Linked DNA regions of Saccharomyces cerevisiae S288C. Changing the gene in region 3 together with the main gene of any one other region gives a genetic interaction. Each region holds a gene or a part of one and is shown on either strand. Other genes may lie near its edges.

What was found. A genetic interaction does not mean that the proteins touch.
Region 1: mutations in GCN2 (region 3) and SNF5 together harm fitness more than expected from each alone (negative genetic interaction), as found in Saccharomyces cerevisiae (3 studies listed by BioGRID).
Region 2: of GCN2 (region 3) and GCD11, a mutation in one rescues a mutant of the other (synthetic rescue), as found in Saccharomyces cerevisiae (3 studies listed by BioGRID, with this or other methods).

Annotation. Positions count from the first base shown.
Region 1 is NC_001134.8:778,147-782,937, reverse strand, and holds SNF5 (Snf5p), read right to left. Parts: upstream 3,272-4,791; coding exon 554-3,271; downstream 1-553. Other genes in the region: BSD2 (Bsd2p), read right to left, coding at 1-347; APM3 (Apm3p), read left to right, coding at 3,475-4,791. UniProt on the Saccharomyces cerevisiae protein: Involved in transcriptional activation. Component of the SWI/SNF complex, an ATP-dependent chromatin-remodeling complex, which is required for the positive and negative regulation of gene expression of a large number of genes.
Region 2 is NC_001137.3:203,409-207,387, reverse strand, and holds GCD11 (translation initiation factor eIF2 subunit gamma), read right to left. Parts: upstream 2,138-3,979; coding exon 554-2,137; downstream 1-553. Other genes in the region: carnitine O-acetyltransferase YAT2, read right to left, coding at 2,425-3,979. UniProt on the Saccharomyces cerevisiae protein: As a subunit of eukaryotic initiation factor 2 eIF2, involved in the early steps of protein synthesis.
Region 3 is NC_001136.10:1,024,539-1,031,948, forward strand, and holds GCN2 (serine/threonine-protein kinase GCN2), read right to left. Parts: upstream 5,512-7,410; coding exon 532-5,511; downstream 1-531. Other genes in the region: MRX10 (Mrx10p), read right to left, coding at 1-217; DPP1 (bifunctional diacylglycerol diphosphate phosphatase/phosphatidate phosphatase), read right to left, coding at 6,012-6,881. UniProt on the Saccharomyces cerevisiae protein: Metabolic-stress sensing protein kinase that phosphorylates the alpha subunit of eukaryotic translation initiation factor 2 (eIF-2-alpha/SUI2) on 'Ser-52' in response to low amino acid, carbon, or purine availability.

The sequences.
Region 1 (4,791 bases), on a different chromosome or scaffold from region 3:
AAGACACCATCAAACATGGCACCTTGTTGTATATCCGAAGACTGTTGTGTACGTTTCTTAAAAAGTCTATCAAGAATATTAAAATGTCTTCCTATTTTTCCTATATGTCTGGCTGCTTGTTCCCTCAGCTGGTGTGGTACTAGTCTTTCTGTCGTACTATTTCCTCCACTGCTGCTTCCCTCGTCCTCTATGCTATCTTCCTCGTCAGACCCTATTTCCGTTTCCCCTTCTACGCCAGTTTGTGTGTCTCTAGTTCGTCCTGCGTTTCCGACATTTATGCCATCAGTAGATGAACCTGCATGAAGTGTATTCATTTCTTGCCCTATAAGTAGTTCTTGCTCTGGCATAGCGCTTAGTTTCCTAGACTACGTGTTCTTGTTATTCTCATGCTCTTTTTATGTATCTAAATTGGAAGATTTTTATAAAGGTTATGTACTATTCTTCTAAAAAAAGTAGGCGCAAAGGGACTCCGCATCGTATAACACGATGATAATACAAATTCTTCCACGGTTATTTACATCTCCGGTATATTTTATATATGTGTATATATTTTCTATGTATTCTGTGTGTTATTGTTACTGCTACCATTATTGCTATTAGTCAACAATGTCGCTTCGCTATCATGTGGTGCTACTGGAGGTGCTATAGGAAGACTAGGTGTAGGTACCGATTTACTAGCTGCCCCACCTGGGATTACTGGCTGCAGTGTGGGATTGGGTGAATTAGTAACAGTGTGATTGGCAATCGGGTTTGGGATTGAAGGTATCGTCACACCAGCGCGAATGTTACTATTCAGCTTAGTTTTCAGCGATTCTGGACTCGGAAGCATTGCATTGGTGCCACTACTTGTGTCATTGGGCGCTGCTGCGAACTCTTCTTTTGTATTAACTTTCCCAGGCAGTTTAATAGAAAGTAGTAGCGAATGACCCGGAATATGGTCAATAATATAACAAGGAGGTGAAACTGGCTTAGGTCTATCTGGCCTGCTTTTATAAGTGGTTGTGTTTCTCAATTCGTACGATTCCACAGAAGGGCCTACGTCAACACCACCAGGCATTAAAGTGCTAGGTACTGGAGTCCTGAAAGTTCTTGGAATATCTGCAATATCTGGCAGTAAAATCTCTCCTGGTGGCAACGATGAAGCATTTCCTGCTGCTACTGTGTTGTGAACGCCGTTCATAGATGTATTACTTGCAGATGTGCCGGACAATGCGAGCATACCACGTCTATTAGATCTACCTTGTCTTCTTTTCCTTCTTGTGTCTCTGTCCTTATCTTTATCCAATCTCTCTAACTCTGCAGCTGAAATCTGTAATAGGTTTGGAGTAAAAATTTTGCTTTCCGCTGCAGGCCTATAAACATCATCAAGAGTAATCGTTGGGAGCATTCTGCTTCTAATGTCATCATCTTCTATCGCTGATCCATCAAAATTGTAACCTAACAGTGCCAGTGATTTATGATACATATGAACTTGCTCTCTTATGGAGTGAGCAATGGCAGTCACAAACTCACCTGGTAGTTCTAATTCTTGACACATGGACTCTGCAAACTCTTCTGGACAGTTATCACTATTAGAGATGTCCCACTCAAATTGATCGATTAACTGGTTTTGTCCCACGACAATATCCAGCTTGATTCTAATTCTCAAGTCATCACCGCCTAGACGGTCCTGATTCAACTCTATATATGGATTTCCTTGAAACTCCTGAATCTGCTCTTGTATAGATTGACAAATAGTATCAATGTGTTGCTCTCTCGTAGCGTCCTCAAATCGGTAATCTCGCAACATGTCGTCCACAAAGTCTTCAATTTTAATAAGCTTGTCATTTTTGTTCCATAACAAAGTGTCCCTGAGGAAGAATCTGTCACGATCTTGATCGAACTCCAATCTTATGGGAACTAACTGTTCCGATGTCTCATTCATGGCCTGTTTATAGACTTTTAATTTATCCTCTAGGTAATGCTTCCTATTTCCAACTTCTACTTGTGGAATAACTCTGGTAGTTGTATTCGTAATCCCATTACCATACCCTGAGTAACCATTTCCCCAAATACTTGCCGAAGGAATCTTCTGAGAAGTGCTTGTGATAGATTTCATTCTAGTGTTCTTCAAATCTTGATAATACTTCAGTGTATGCCACAGTCTACTAATATACTCTTTATTACTAAATCCATAAATGCTAAACGGATCGTAACCATTGGTTTCTCTTATTAGCGAATATTTGTTAATTTTATCACGCTGGATAATTTGTTCGTACAACAAAGTATCCGTATCTGCTTTTTTGTCTGACCAATAGGTTGGATATGGTAGCTTGGTTTCTGGTGGATCGTATTGAATAGTTTGGTACTTGGGTAAGTTTAATTTTGGAAGTTGAGGAAGTTGGCCAATAGTTGGCTGAACATTGGTGGGAGGTTGTCCACTCATGGATCTAACTTGAGGAACTTGCTGAGATTGCGGTATTTGTCCTTGCTGCTGCTGCTGCTGCTGCTGCTGTTGTTGTTGTTGTTGCTGTTGTTGTTGCTGCTGCTGTTGCTGTTGCTGTTGCTGCTGTTGCTGTTGTTGTTGTTGTTGTTGCTGATGCTGCTGCTGCTGTTGTTGTTGCTTTTGTTGCTGCTGTTGTATTTGCACATGATGCCTAAACTGTTGTTGCTGTTGTCGCTGTATTTGGTTTCTAAGTTGCTGCTGCTGTTGCTGCTGAACCAGCAATTGCCTCTGCTGTTCTAGCTGAGTTTGTGCCGTTTGCTGTCCCTTTTGCTGCTCAATTTGGCGTTGCACTTGTTGTTGTGCAACAGTAATTGCATTCACAACCTGTGGATTATTTTTTGCTATGGCCTGCTGCCTCAACTTGTTCAAAACTTGTTGCTGTGTAGCCAAAGGTAACTGAGCAATTTGTGGAGGCAAATTAATAGGCGCTGGAGCTAAGGGCACTTGACCAATTTGGGGATGTAAGTTGTGTGGTGCTGGAGGAGGAGGAGGGGTAGAAGTCGCTGATTGATTAGCAATGGGTTGAGATTGTTGCGGAGGAGGGGGTGGAGATTGATGCGTTTGCGGTGGCGGTGAAGTTTGTTGTTGTTGTTGTTGTTGTTGTTGTAGACGACTCCTCAGTAACTGTTGGTGTCGTTGCTGAATCATCTGCAATTGTTGTGGTGTGAGGCTCTGATACAGCTGTTGCGGAATTTGCGCCATGTTAAAAGATGGAGTTCCAATGTTGCTAAATATATTTCCAATACTATTTGGAACGCTGTTGGTACCCTGCGGCTGATTATTCATTGTTGCTTTTGTGTAGTTCTTTACTATATGTTCCCTTGATGATGCTTTGTTTTGGTGTTTATGTTTGAAATTTCAGTTTCTTTTAAATGCGACGAAAAATGAAATTTTTGGTCAAAGAACAAGAAGAGATTTATTTAAAGTTGGCGATAACAGGACTTGGGCAACAACAGAGGCTGTAAACCTTACCAACCCAACCAAAATAGATGTATTTGTCATTCTATATCACTGATACAAAGAACAAACTTATTTTCCAGTATCTTTTAGGTGCAACAGCTCCCTCCTTCAAGCACCTGTGGACCCGCGTTCAGTCCACATGTCCTCAATTGCTCGAAGATAGCAGTAGTGATGATTATTTAGACCATTCAATGGTTGGAAGAGATTTAGAGGTCTATAAGTATTTCTCAGTTATAAATAAGCTCAATTATTGGTGCTTAGCCTCCACTTCGAAGTCAAAAGGCCCGCTTGATTGTTTTACCTTTTTAGAGACTATAGATCGTATCCTGTTAGAATATTTTGACAAGGATAAATTAAGTATCAAGAAAATTGTTAATAATTATGATAGAATCAGTTTGATTTTTAACTGTTGCGTCGAAGCGGGTGAACCAAATGTGAGTGATATGCTCTATGTTAATAAAATTAAAGAAGCTGTTCCTGAAAGATCGGATTTATCGAAGTTCATAAGTTCTACAGCCCATAATTTACAGCAGGCTGTGCAACTCCCACAACAAAGGCAACAGCAGCTACAACAAAATCAGATTTCTCGTGGTAGTAATTCACTAATCGAAAATGAAGAGATTGTTCCCTGGAGAACTTCAAGGGCTAGCAAACATGAGAATAATGAGCTTTATGTGGATTTGTTAGAAACATTCCATGTTGTATTTGAAAAGAAAAAATCACATCTAAGGTTGCTCACTGGAAGTATCCATGGAATAGTGGACGTGAGATCTTATTTGAATGATAATCCTCTAGTTGCAGTAAAATTAAACACTATGGGAAATGATATAGGTATACCCAGTTTGCATGACTGTGTTGAAATCAATGATGGTGTGTTTTCTCCCTCTAATATAACGTTTATACCACCAGATGGGAAGTTCAGATTGCTGGAGTATTCCGTCGATTTAAGTTCTCAAGTAAAGCAATCCGGAGTAAGGATGAATTCTATTGGCTTGATGTCTTTACACTTCCAAAATGGATTGGGTAAAGATTCTGATGAATTTGAGTTATCCTTAAATATTGAAAATTTCAAAAAAGTTTCACAAGTTGATGACCTAAAAATAGATTTACAGTTCAATGTTGAGAATGCTGATCCAAATGAAATAGCATATAAGATAAAAATATTGCGCAATACTCATGGCCGTTTTGAAAATAGCATTATCATGGGTCAAGGACAATGGATTTTTGATAAATCAACTGCCACTGGAACGGTACCTGTACTACGTGGCTGTATTGAGTATGAAAATACTGGGCCAAATTTTACAAAAAAAGTTGATTTACAAACAGTCTCCTTAGAATATTCTTAC
Region 2 (3,979 bases), on a different chromosome or scaffold from region 3:
CGATGTGTACTAACCACTATACTAAGATGGCGAACTTATATAAAATAAAACCTTTTCAAGGTTATATATACTCAATAGATACTGAATAATTTTGGAGCTTCATTATCTTTGTGCAATTGTCTCCATGTACAAACCACCGATAAGATTTAGTGTAGAGTATGTTGGGTGTAAAAAAAGAAAGGCAGTTTATTGACTACTGGTGTAACTAGACGATAAAGGTTTGAGAGGTTTTCATGGCATCAATGGGAAATAAATGAGTTCGAGAACTATGAGATAAATATTTGCTTAATATTATCGCGTTTAGTAATTTTTTCTTAAAAATACGTAAAACATGTTAAATATACAGTTGAATACTATGTAAGAAGGAAAAAAAAAGAAAGAAAACGTTATAAAAAGAGAATAAAGATCATCAATGTCATTACGCATCAATGTATATGAGCATATTGCAATAACCAGAAGTGTCAGTTTCCCTTCCTCCTAGCCCGTTTCTTATCTTCACTTTCTTTCAGATTAATTATGAAATTTTTGTCTTTGCAGTGGTTTTATTGGTTCCTTAAGCGATGGGTTCCAATGTAGTACCCTTTTTAATGGTTGCCCAACCAATCAAACGCCAATGCTTTTCGATACGTCTCGACAAAGCAATCTTCTCGTTAATTTCAGTACAAGCGGGCGACGTTAACTGTAATCTTGCCATATCAGCTTTAACGGCAACCACACGAGCCCCCGTAGCGGTAGAACCAATGTTGACCATAAGAACTTCATTTGGCTCTAATTTTCTGACTTTGGCTTGCTTTTGACCATCTGTTTTGACACCTAATAGACGACGTAGCAAAAAGTAGTTGATTTCGATATCAGTATAAATGTTTGGCAAATGACCCTTAGCACCGACGACTTGACCGACAAGACGATCAGCTCTACACAAGGTAGGATCAACTTTAGTACCAACACCAATCAGACCACCGGGAACAGCAAACTTCAAGTCATTTTGTTCGGCAAATAAGGAGACAATGTTAGAAAAGATTGGTTTACATTGAATTTTACCCTTATCATCCTTGGTGACAATACCTGGTCTAATCTCAATTTCATCACCTAATTTGAAAACACCATTCAAAATAGAACCACCGGCAACACCACCTTTCAGGTCCTCGATTTCAGCACCTGGCTTATTAACATCAAATGAACGAATAACAATTAACCTTGGAGAAATCATAAAATCTCTTGGTGGTACGGGAATAGTCTTGACAATAAATTCATTAACTGCGTCGATGTTATACTTCAACTGAGCGGATATTGGTACAATAGGAGCACCGTCAGCAATGGTACCTCTGATGAACTTCAAGATGGATTTTTGGTGTTCTAAGGCACTTTCTTCACGCATTAAATCGACCTTATTCTGTAAGATGATGACGTGCTTTAATTTCATGATTTCAATGGCAGCTAAATGCTCTGAGGTTTGAGGTTGTGGACAAGATTCATTACCTGCAATCAACAGTAACGCAGCATCCATAACAGCAGCACCTGATAACATAGTACTCATTAAGATATCGTGACCGGGACAGTCAACAAAAGAAACGTGACGGACCAATTTGTAACGCCCCGGACAACCTGGTCTTTGACATTTAGGACTGATTTCTTTATCAGATTTGAATGATCTATAACAATCAGGTTCGGGACATGTAGGCTCTTGACATTTATAAATTTTAGCATTAGCGTAACCTAACTTAATAGTAATGTTACGTTCTAATTCATCCTTAAAACGGACTGTTTGGACACCTGAAATAGCCCTAACTACTGTGGATTTACCGTGGGCGACATGACCGATGGTACCGATGTTTATTGTAGCTTGCCTGTTGATAATTTCGGCGGATAGTGGGTTTAATTTTGAAAAATCAGGGTTTAATGGTTGTTCGGGCAAACCACCACCTTCTTCAAATTCCCTTTTCCTTTTTTCTTCTTCAGTTTCCCCGTCTTCTTCCAAGCCAGTGAAGGCGACTTTCTTCTTTGGCTTATCAGCATCTTGTGTTTCTTGTGTTTCTTGAGCTACAACTTCCGTTTCTTCAACGATATCTGGTTCACCAACTGGTTCCAAATTACCGTTGATAATAATGCTAGGTTCTTGGTCTTGTAAGTCACTCATGTCTACCTCTAATGCGCGATGTTAACGGTGTATTACGCTCTTTCCGCCCTCTTTGCTTAGCTCCTGGTACAGGTCGAGATGAAATCTCTGTCTTTTGTACTGATGATCAGCATCGGGCTATTCTATGAAAATTTTTTCAATGGCAAATCTGGTCCGGGTTACTGACATGAGAGCAAATAATAAGCATAAATTAAAGCATATTGATATACTTCATATAACAAGTATATATCACATCACGCCAAGCTTACGCATAATGCTAGTAATAAATAGATAAACAAAGAGCGTTCTTATTGATCTAAGGTCGCCACCTTTCTACCCACACGACTGCGGTCAAAATCAATATCGAATCTTGAGTTGATGACGTTACGTTTCTTGGAATTTAGAGATGTAGCTGAAGATGCCGAAGAGGATGTGCCATCAGCATTGCCAGCAACTATTTCAATATCTGTCTCATCATCTGCTTCCAACCCATTACTTGCCACTTCCCGCGGTTGGATCTGTAAAATTTCATGGCCTGTATTTAATTTTTCCTTTTCTGTGGGAACGGAAACTGCGGAACTTGAATGATCATTGTCTGCGCTCATGGTCAAGCCATTGAAGGTTTTCTGCAAATTCTTCATCGATGGTGTTTTAGATATATTCCTACTGTCAATGTGGCCTTCCAAATCGAAAAACCCGCCATACCTGTTCAAATTTACCTGTGATGAAGAAGATGTTTTGCGGGAGCCATTGACTGTATGGCCGTTACGTTTCGGAGGATTATTGACTGCATTGTCCATTTCATACAATTTATCGACCACTGGACTGATCTTCACGCCAGTTTTATTATGAGAAGTGCCGCGTGACATCCTCCAGTAGGAACGAATTTCGCCTAACACCCAACTTAACATAAACATTAACCTGTCACCCTGTCGAAATTGCGATGTCACGGTCAAATCTACTTGATCATCTTTAATGATGTACCCTATTCCAAAGCCATGAGGTACAGCAGGAGTTATACCAAATGTCGTGGTAGCAGCATTACCACAGTTGGCAACAATCAACTCAGGCTGTGAGAAAGGTAAAACAAGTGGATTTTCGAAAAGATCTTTCGCAGCAGATGATTCATCACCACTTAAGTGGATACCAAAATGGTCATGAAATTTGAAGAGATATTTCAATGCATTGAAGTGTTTTTCATAACCTACCCCAGACTTTGCATGTTTAACCATGTTATTATGTGTTTCGCAGGTTTGGATAAATTTGTCTAATTTATCTGTCCCATCAATGGAGCTAGAAATAAACAATTGACATAGTTCCAACAGCGCTTGACTTTGAATGTTAATAAAAGATGATCTCGAGTTTTTGAAACCACGTGTGGATACTGGTTCTAATCCAAACACCATTCTTCCATACAAAGCATAGTGAGCTATTTGTAAAGCTACTTGAACCATCGAATCGGGCTTGACTCCTAATCTTTGAGCTGACCTTCTGCCCAATGGAATAGAAGCGCGAACAATATCATACTTGGAAATCAGATCAGCTAGTTTGGTTTCTGACAAATGGACATGTGTGTTCAGGATGTTACTGAAAGACCAATCGATTTTATTTACAACCAACTTAGGGTCAATTTCAGAAGGGCCTCCGCCGTCGGCACTTATGGTCGCCGTCATCAGTTTTTTAGTTTCAGGATCCATTTGTGTCACGTTAGGCCAGAGTGAAAACTGTGGGTCACCGGCGTTAACGTCTCTAGCTAATCTCAAGACTGATTCTGTATAAATTTCAGAAGTAAACCGAAGCACGACTGACCCGTCACATGTGAAGGAATCCCAAATCACTGTGGCTTTTGCATCTGCAGTGACA
Region 3 (7,410 bases):
GAGTAGAATTCTTCGGGTTTTTAAGCATCTTCATTGTCTTGATATTCGTATCCACTGACTTGTGTTCCCTATTGGTCTTCTTCTCTGTAGCTAGTTTACCTTTCCAACGGCCATCTTGCACTTCTAAATTCTGTATTGATAAACTAGTTCCTAACCGTCTAATTTGGAATCGTGATACGAAACCGAATGTGCTAGTCAAACTTCTGAATGAAAGCATTCTTCACGCCATATTATGATCATTTATTAAATGTCTCCCGTAGGAGCTAGAGGAGCCTCACACAACATACGCACACATTTATATTCACCGAAAAATTAAATACAAAATGGAAAGTAGAGAAAGGAGAGAAGAAGTAGACCATCTCATTAAACCTACATTTGTCTTTAGTATCAGGAATATGTATAAGAAAGGTGACCTACCCCCTTTACAACGGTGAATTAGATGAATCAGCTAGCCTAAATATAGTATCTAAGACATTGTATATACTTTACCTTTAACTGATGCGTTATAGCGCCGCACAGATCTTTAAAGGCCTACCTCTGTAAATCGATAACAGATGATTTTCCGGTTTTGTGGCAGTATAATATTGCCCACCTATTCCCTTTATGAGCCTCTTTGGAGAGGTTATTATAAATGCTCGTGGCAAAGCTTCTAGGAGTCGAGTTATTACCTGACCCAAAAACTTTTCTCAGCCATTCTTCCTTCTGAGCCAAAGAAGTAATTGAGATTATTTCTAAAGTTTCATCTCTTAAGGCATCAACAGTGATAATTGGTGCATTGGATAAATTGTGTAATATCATATTCGAAGAATTTCTGGCTGCATCCTCATAAACCCACTTTTCCCTTTTATTAGCTTTCTTAGATCTTGTAGCCATGTTTGGAACATAAATTACCTTTTGATTATTAGTCGAACCAGCAACAACATCATCTATGTCACCTTCTTGACTACTACCGGCACTGCTGTTTTCATCCCATCTTTTAAATTCATCAGCCTTATCGCCCAAAGTGAGACTATCGTTGATCAAAGATTTATTACCAGTTTCTTGTTGGTACAAGGTTAAAAACTCATCAAGATCTAAATCTATGTCAACATTAGTGCTCAATTTTTTTATTTTTAATGGCTTGTACTTTCTCTTGTGATTGGTTAGTGGATACGCTTGTTGCTTAATCAGCAAAATCCAGTCTATACCATCCTGTTGAGCGCCAGTAACGACATCATCCACCGAGGAACAATCCCTTAACATATCCGCTTTAATGTTTTGCTTCCACAATGTATTCAGTATTGTAACCCCGATTGTGTCCAACAAAGAGTTCGAAAAACTCGATATCAATACATCACACCTGCTTGGCTTCCAATCAACAGCTGTATCTTTCAAAAACCTATTTCTCTTCTTTATCCTATTTCCAGAAGCGAGTTTGAAATAGTTTTGGGCTATACCGAATATTGTTTCCCACGCTAAGTTGAAACCTACAGCCTTACGAGTATTGCTGCTCTTTTTTCCTGATGGTCTGGCAAAAAAGGATATCAAAGTGTCATACCTCCCTCCAGCAGCTATCATATTACGTGAGGATCCATCGTCATAAACTGCATGAAACATGATACCTCCTTTGTAAAAAGCGCTATTGTAGTTACTCAAAGGAGATATCACAACATTTCTTGCAACTTCTAAGGGTTTTAGGTAACTGAGAACCTTTGATATATGGGACAAAGAGTCCTCAATTTTTTTTAGATGCGGACTATCAATCATCAATTTATACAGGCGTTTTTTGGCTGCTTCGAAGTCCAGTCTAAAATCAAATAACTCCAAATCATTCAATGCCGTAGAAGATATGTTCAGTTGCGCCTTTAGTTCATTCTTTACTTCCTTGAAGGACCTTGCAAAGCCTACTTGCGACAACATTCGTGAAACTAGAGGCCTTTGGGCTTTATCAATATTTGTAAAGTTGAAAACACTCTCCAAAATATCAGCATGATTTAATATGAAAAAAGTGTTTGTTTTCTCAAATACAGGAAATACGGTTAATATTTCATCGATAATTTTCAAGCTTTCTGCATCATAAAATCCTGACTCTGAGGAAGATTTTGAAATTATGTCGAAGTCAATCTCACCAAACTTTCTAGGTTCCAAACTTGACCTTGAATGATCAGGAGGTCGGTAAACGTGCTGCATCCTATATTGCTTAGAAATCAGACTTGGATTTTTAGATAGATACCTAGCCATAGGATAAGTTAAATCATATTGTAACTGCAAGACGGTACCGCCCTTGTCAAGCACTTCATATACATTCTGCGTACCGTATATGGGGGCCTTTGGAAAAATCCTCGGAGGAGCATTATTTTCAATTCCTCCATGTTTCCTGAAAATTTTAACTACCTCTTCTGTCATTTGGGACCTGAGAATGTTTGCGAAAGGAGTGGATGTTGGAACTGAGTTATCAAATAGAATATCATTTGTTAGACTGTAAGATTGGTTAAATAAACTTTCTCGAACTTGCTGTTGCCAAGGGGATGAAGGATTCGACAAACTTTTTAAAGCCTCTTTGATTACTTCATCCTGATGCTTCACAGGAAGCCAACCACTATTTAATAATGTCCTAGCACCAGGCCTTTTATTGGGATCATGGTCTATGAGTAACCTTATAATTTTCTTTTCAACTTTCATCTTATTATCGTCGAAATCAGGAGGAAATTCTATCGACACTGATCGTAACTTTTTCAAAATATTAACTCTCTCCATACCTGTACTGAAAGGATAGATCATTTCAAAAAAAATGATTCCAAGTGAATACATATCAATCTTTTCATTATAGTGACCTGTACCATCTAAAACTTCAGTAGCAACATACATTGCTGTACCAATGGCGGATGTTAAATTATCTGAGCTGCCTGGCAAATTCTGTGAATCTAGCTTAAGTATATCCAGAGATCTATGGACGTTCTTAGCTAACCCAAAATCACCGATTTTAACATTTCTCGATTCATCTATAAAAATATTCATTGGCTTCAGATCCCTATGAATGATACCCTGGGAATGTATATAACTCAGTGCTTCCAAAATTTGTCGAAATAACCTCCAATATTCATCACGTTGTTGATTTAAATTTTCAGAATGGATCAAATCATATAGCGTTCTATTTTCACAGTACTCCATTTGAATAAAAAGCGTACTTTTCTTCTTAACAGCAGTCATCGGTTTTACAAAATTCCTCCTTCTTGGAACGTTCTGGATACTCTTTGATTCTTTATCAGTATCATCTTGACTTTCGCTCGAGGAAGTCGAGGAAGTATCATGGTCTAGATCTTCATTTTCATCATCACGAGAACTATTTTCAAAGACAATATCCGGATATCCTGACCCCGATATGAAATCCCAGTTACTATTATCCAAATCGTGATTTGTTCTATTTTTAAAAATACTGCTTTGATCTAATAAATCATTTTCCTCAAAATCAGAGGAAGATTCGCTCAAGTCACTTTCTTCATCAGTTGATTCAAAAACGTTTTCATCCATACTGTCTTCTTCTAACCATGCAGCATAGTAACGCACAACATATTGATGATTTAAGCTTGCTAACAGCATTACTTCACTCAATATAGTAGATAACTTTTCTTCTGTATGTCTAATCTTCTTGATCGCATAGTATCTGCTATCGAGAGCATTACGTGCCTTGACAACTTGTCCAAATGCGCCCTGGCCTAAAACTGCAATCTCTTCAAAGTCAGAAGCATATCGTGATCGCGTTGCAGGATTTATAGAAGAGAATCTGGAACCAACATTAAATGATCTTCTTCGTATACTCGATTGTGAAAGTGTTCTACCTCCATTGCCCCGAACGGTTATGGTATCTCCAGGAGTTAACTCCAAGGAATTAGAATTGACACTTTCGGAAACTAAGTTAAATCGATTGATTGTAGAGTCAATATTGGTCCTTAAGAATTTCATGGGCAGTAGTTCTAATGTTCCTAATCTTTTCTTCGGATCGTTATTAAGCATTTTCGAAAGAAGATCATATAAAGTTTCATCCATACTTGTTGAATCTAGGAATTCTTGAGGCGTTTCAAAATTCATCACTATATCAGATCCACTGATTATCTGGATAAACAAAACACCAAGTTGCCAAATATCAGTTAATCTTTGAGGTTTGGCGTTATTGAATTTCAACAACTCAGGGGCTATCCATGTACTTGGAGATAACTCAACCGAAGAACCATTTTTATTTGGATATCTCGATAGCATATTCAAAACAGTGTAGCCATAAGTGGAGTGAACTAACTTGGGAATAGTGCTTCCAAAATCTGCATCCTTCACCAGGATCACGGTTTCTAAGTTGATACATTTATGAACAATTCCCAATTTGTGTATGGCCTCCAATCCTTCAAGCAATCTAATCATCCAAATACGCGCTGTTGCTAAGTTAACAAATCCAACAGATTGTATCAAATCTCCCAATGGATAGTAGTTACAGTACTCTGTCAAGAGTCTTATTTTCCAAACAAACGTTGCATTATTTCTCCCCATGCGCTCCACCGTATAACCGAACAATCGATTCACATTGTCATGCTTAGCTTTCAACACCGTCTCTAACTCTTTCTCTAAATTTGCTATTTCTTTTTTTCCATTACTTGTGTTGAAATAGCTATTATCCAATTCAATTTCAGATAGCAAATAGTAGAAATTTTCCATCATTTCAGAAGACATTAAAAAATCTGCCAACGGAGATTCTGGTGGTATATAAGGCTTCACAAGAAATTGTTTGGAAAAACTAAATATATCTGATGTCAGTTTTATTGGCTTAGGATTTACAACTGCTTTAAACTTGAACATTGAGTTATTAGGCAATTTTGCCTTTATAGTTTTTGAAAAGACAATAGCTTCACCTGATGCAACCCATTCTGAAGGTGGTTGTAAATCTAACTGGGTTGTTCTGTTGAATAGCAAATCATCATCATCATCTTGTCTTTTCTCCAACTCTCTTTGAACAATTTCATCTATCCTTCGCTGCTCATCTGATCTTTTTTTTATTGTTTCCTGTTGTTTTTCTCTTTCTTCCTTTTCTAATTGTTCTTTAGTTTCTTTGATTCTTTGTAATCGATCATCTTCCAAGGACTGTGTATTTACCACATTTTGAAATTCGTCCAGTTTTTCTTGAGTAAAAGATGTAATTTCAAATATAATCTCTTGGCCTCGGGAGGTGTTGTGGATTTTCTTAAATTCACTTTTCAGCATTTGCAATTGACTATCCATTACATTTTGTACATTTTTGAATTCTATTTCTGGAGCGGTATAAGGATACATTGGGGTCATCGCAAAATGTAATGTTATAGAAGATTCAACCGGCTCTTTGTCAACAGATCGAAGCGTAATTTCGAATATAATCTGTGGCTGCTTATCCCAGCTAGACTTTCTTTTAGTTAAGTCAGTAAAGTCATCCATATAAATGGAACGTATCGCTTCAAGTTCGTTGCACTGTATTTCATAATATTGATCTAAAGTGAGATGACTCAATGACATTTATACATAGTATGTGTTAAGGGGAACGGAAAATTATTGAAAAAAAAAATCAATGCTTATAAAATCTTAAAAGACAACGAGGCTTTCCAACAATGTAAAGATTGAAAATTTAGTGTATTTAATGTCCTTTTGTAATGAAAATAACTTCTTGTAAGAAAGAAGATAGAGATAAATGTAAAAGTAAATTTGCTTAAAAAGATTCTAGGCTGTTTATAGATTGATTACACCAGGTTCTTATCTCAAAAATCAGCTACTCAACTGCTTCCTAAGAAACTACCTACATCACTATAGTCCAACTTAAAACAAATAATAAACTTCTAAGGCTTTCGTGTAAAGTGATGTTGGGATTGTCCGATGAAATAACAAGCAGGCCCTTGCACGTCAAGATTAATTTGAATAAAGAAGTAACATGTCATCTTTATGTAATCGCTGTTATTCCATACAGAACAATAAATACGTATATTTCGTATGTCATGTGGAGTATATATTCTTTTTTATTCTTACATACCTTCATCGGACAAAGGATGTAATTCCTCATCCGGGATCCTCTGATGGGTGACTGCTTCCTCCAGGGTGACATCTGAATCGTCCATCAATGGTTTGAACGGAAGAGGATCATCAATGGGTGGGAAGATTCTTCTGTAGAAAAAGTGTGCCATTATATAACCCAACATAGACCCTAAAATTACATCGACGAAATGATGTCTGTAATCTTGAGTTCTGGATAGAGCAATTAGTGCAGCTCCTAACAGTGGTAGAAAGGCCACCATTTTTCTCCATAAAGGCATCAACGGTGATTCAGTCAAAAGTTGCCCACATAGCCAGAAGTACAAATAACCCAGTCCTGCAAAGCTTTCACTTGAATGACCTGACGGAGTTGTCCTAAACCCATCCAACAGACGTTCGTGATTCTTAGTCGTACACACATCTTTTGCAGTAAATAAAGTGTCCAATGGCAAGCCTTCAACAGGTTGGCAACGATCTAGAAAATCTGGTCTTAGTCTTCCAATCCAATTCTTGATGAAGTTTGTAAAGAAACTCGTACTGAACCAAGCGAGTGATAAACCAAGGAGAGATGTGTACAAAATAAAAATCAAATGTCTTCTATCGGCCAAAATGGAACCAATTATCAATATGGTTAAAGATGGCACGACAAAACTATAAACAAACAACATGTTGTTATTTACACGTTCAGTTGTCGCATAAGGATGCGATATAGTGAGATCGTTAATGTAAAACTGACGTTCGAACGGTTGTTGGTAATACACTGGGTAGTTAAGAAGTATCATGATAATGAGCAAAAAGACATCTTCTAATCTCCATTTCGCCCCTATGTTGAAAGGCGTTTTAATAAACGAAACTCTGTTCATTTTGGTCGTTTGCTATGATTTAATTCTGATTCTTTGCCTTTAACAATTGATAACGTGCCCTTTATTGAACTGCTAACTACTCGAAAAATTGGACACAATTCAGTTTATAGCAGGTGTCCTTTAAGTGATGTTTGCTGATTTCCGAACTGCGCGTATGTTAGTGGACCCTAGATAACAGTTTATTCCCTAACGTTTCTAGATAATATATGACAAAAATATACAACCGATCGACAAATTATTTCTAAAATACAAAAAAGTTAGTCGTGAGGTTATCCAACGTTGGGTTTCTATCTATATATAAAAGCTAATCACCAAACAATTGAGAATCAACGCCGATAACATGATGTACAATTATAGCAGTATACGCCAGGCGTGCTGCATTTATTCTTTACCCTGTCATCGTTGACGAATACTTTTTTTTAAAGGGATCGCACTCTAACCACCTGAAAGGTACTATCTGAAAAAGTGTTGACTAAAAACAGAAGCGCCTTAATAATAGTGCACTACTGGAAAACTATATTTAATGTAA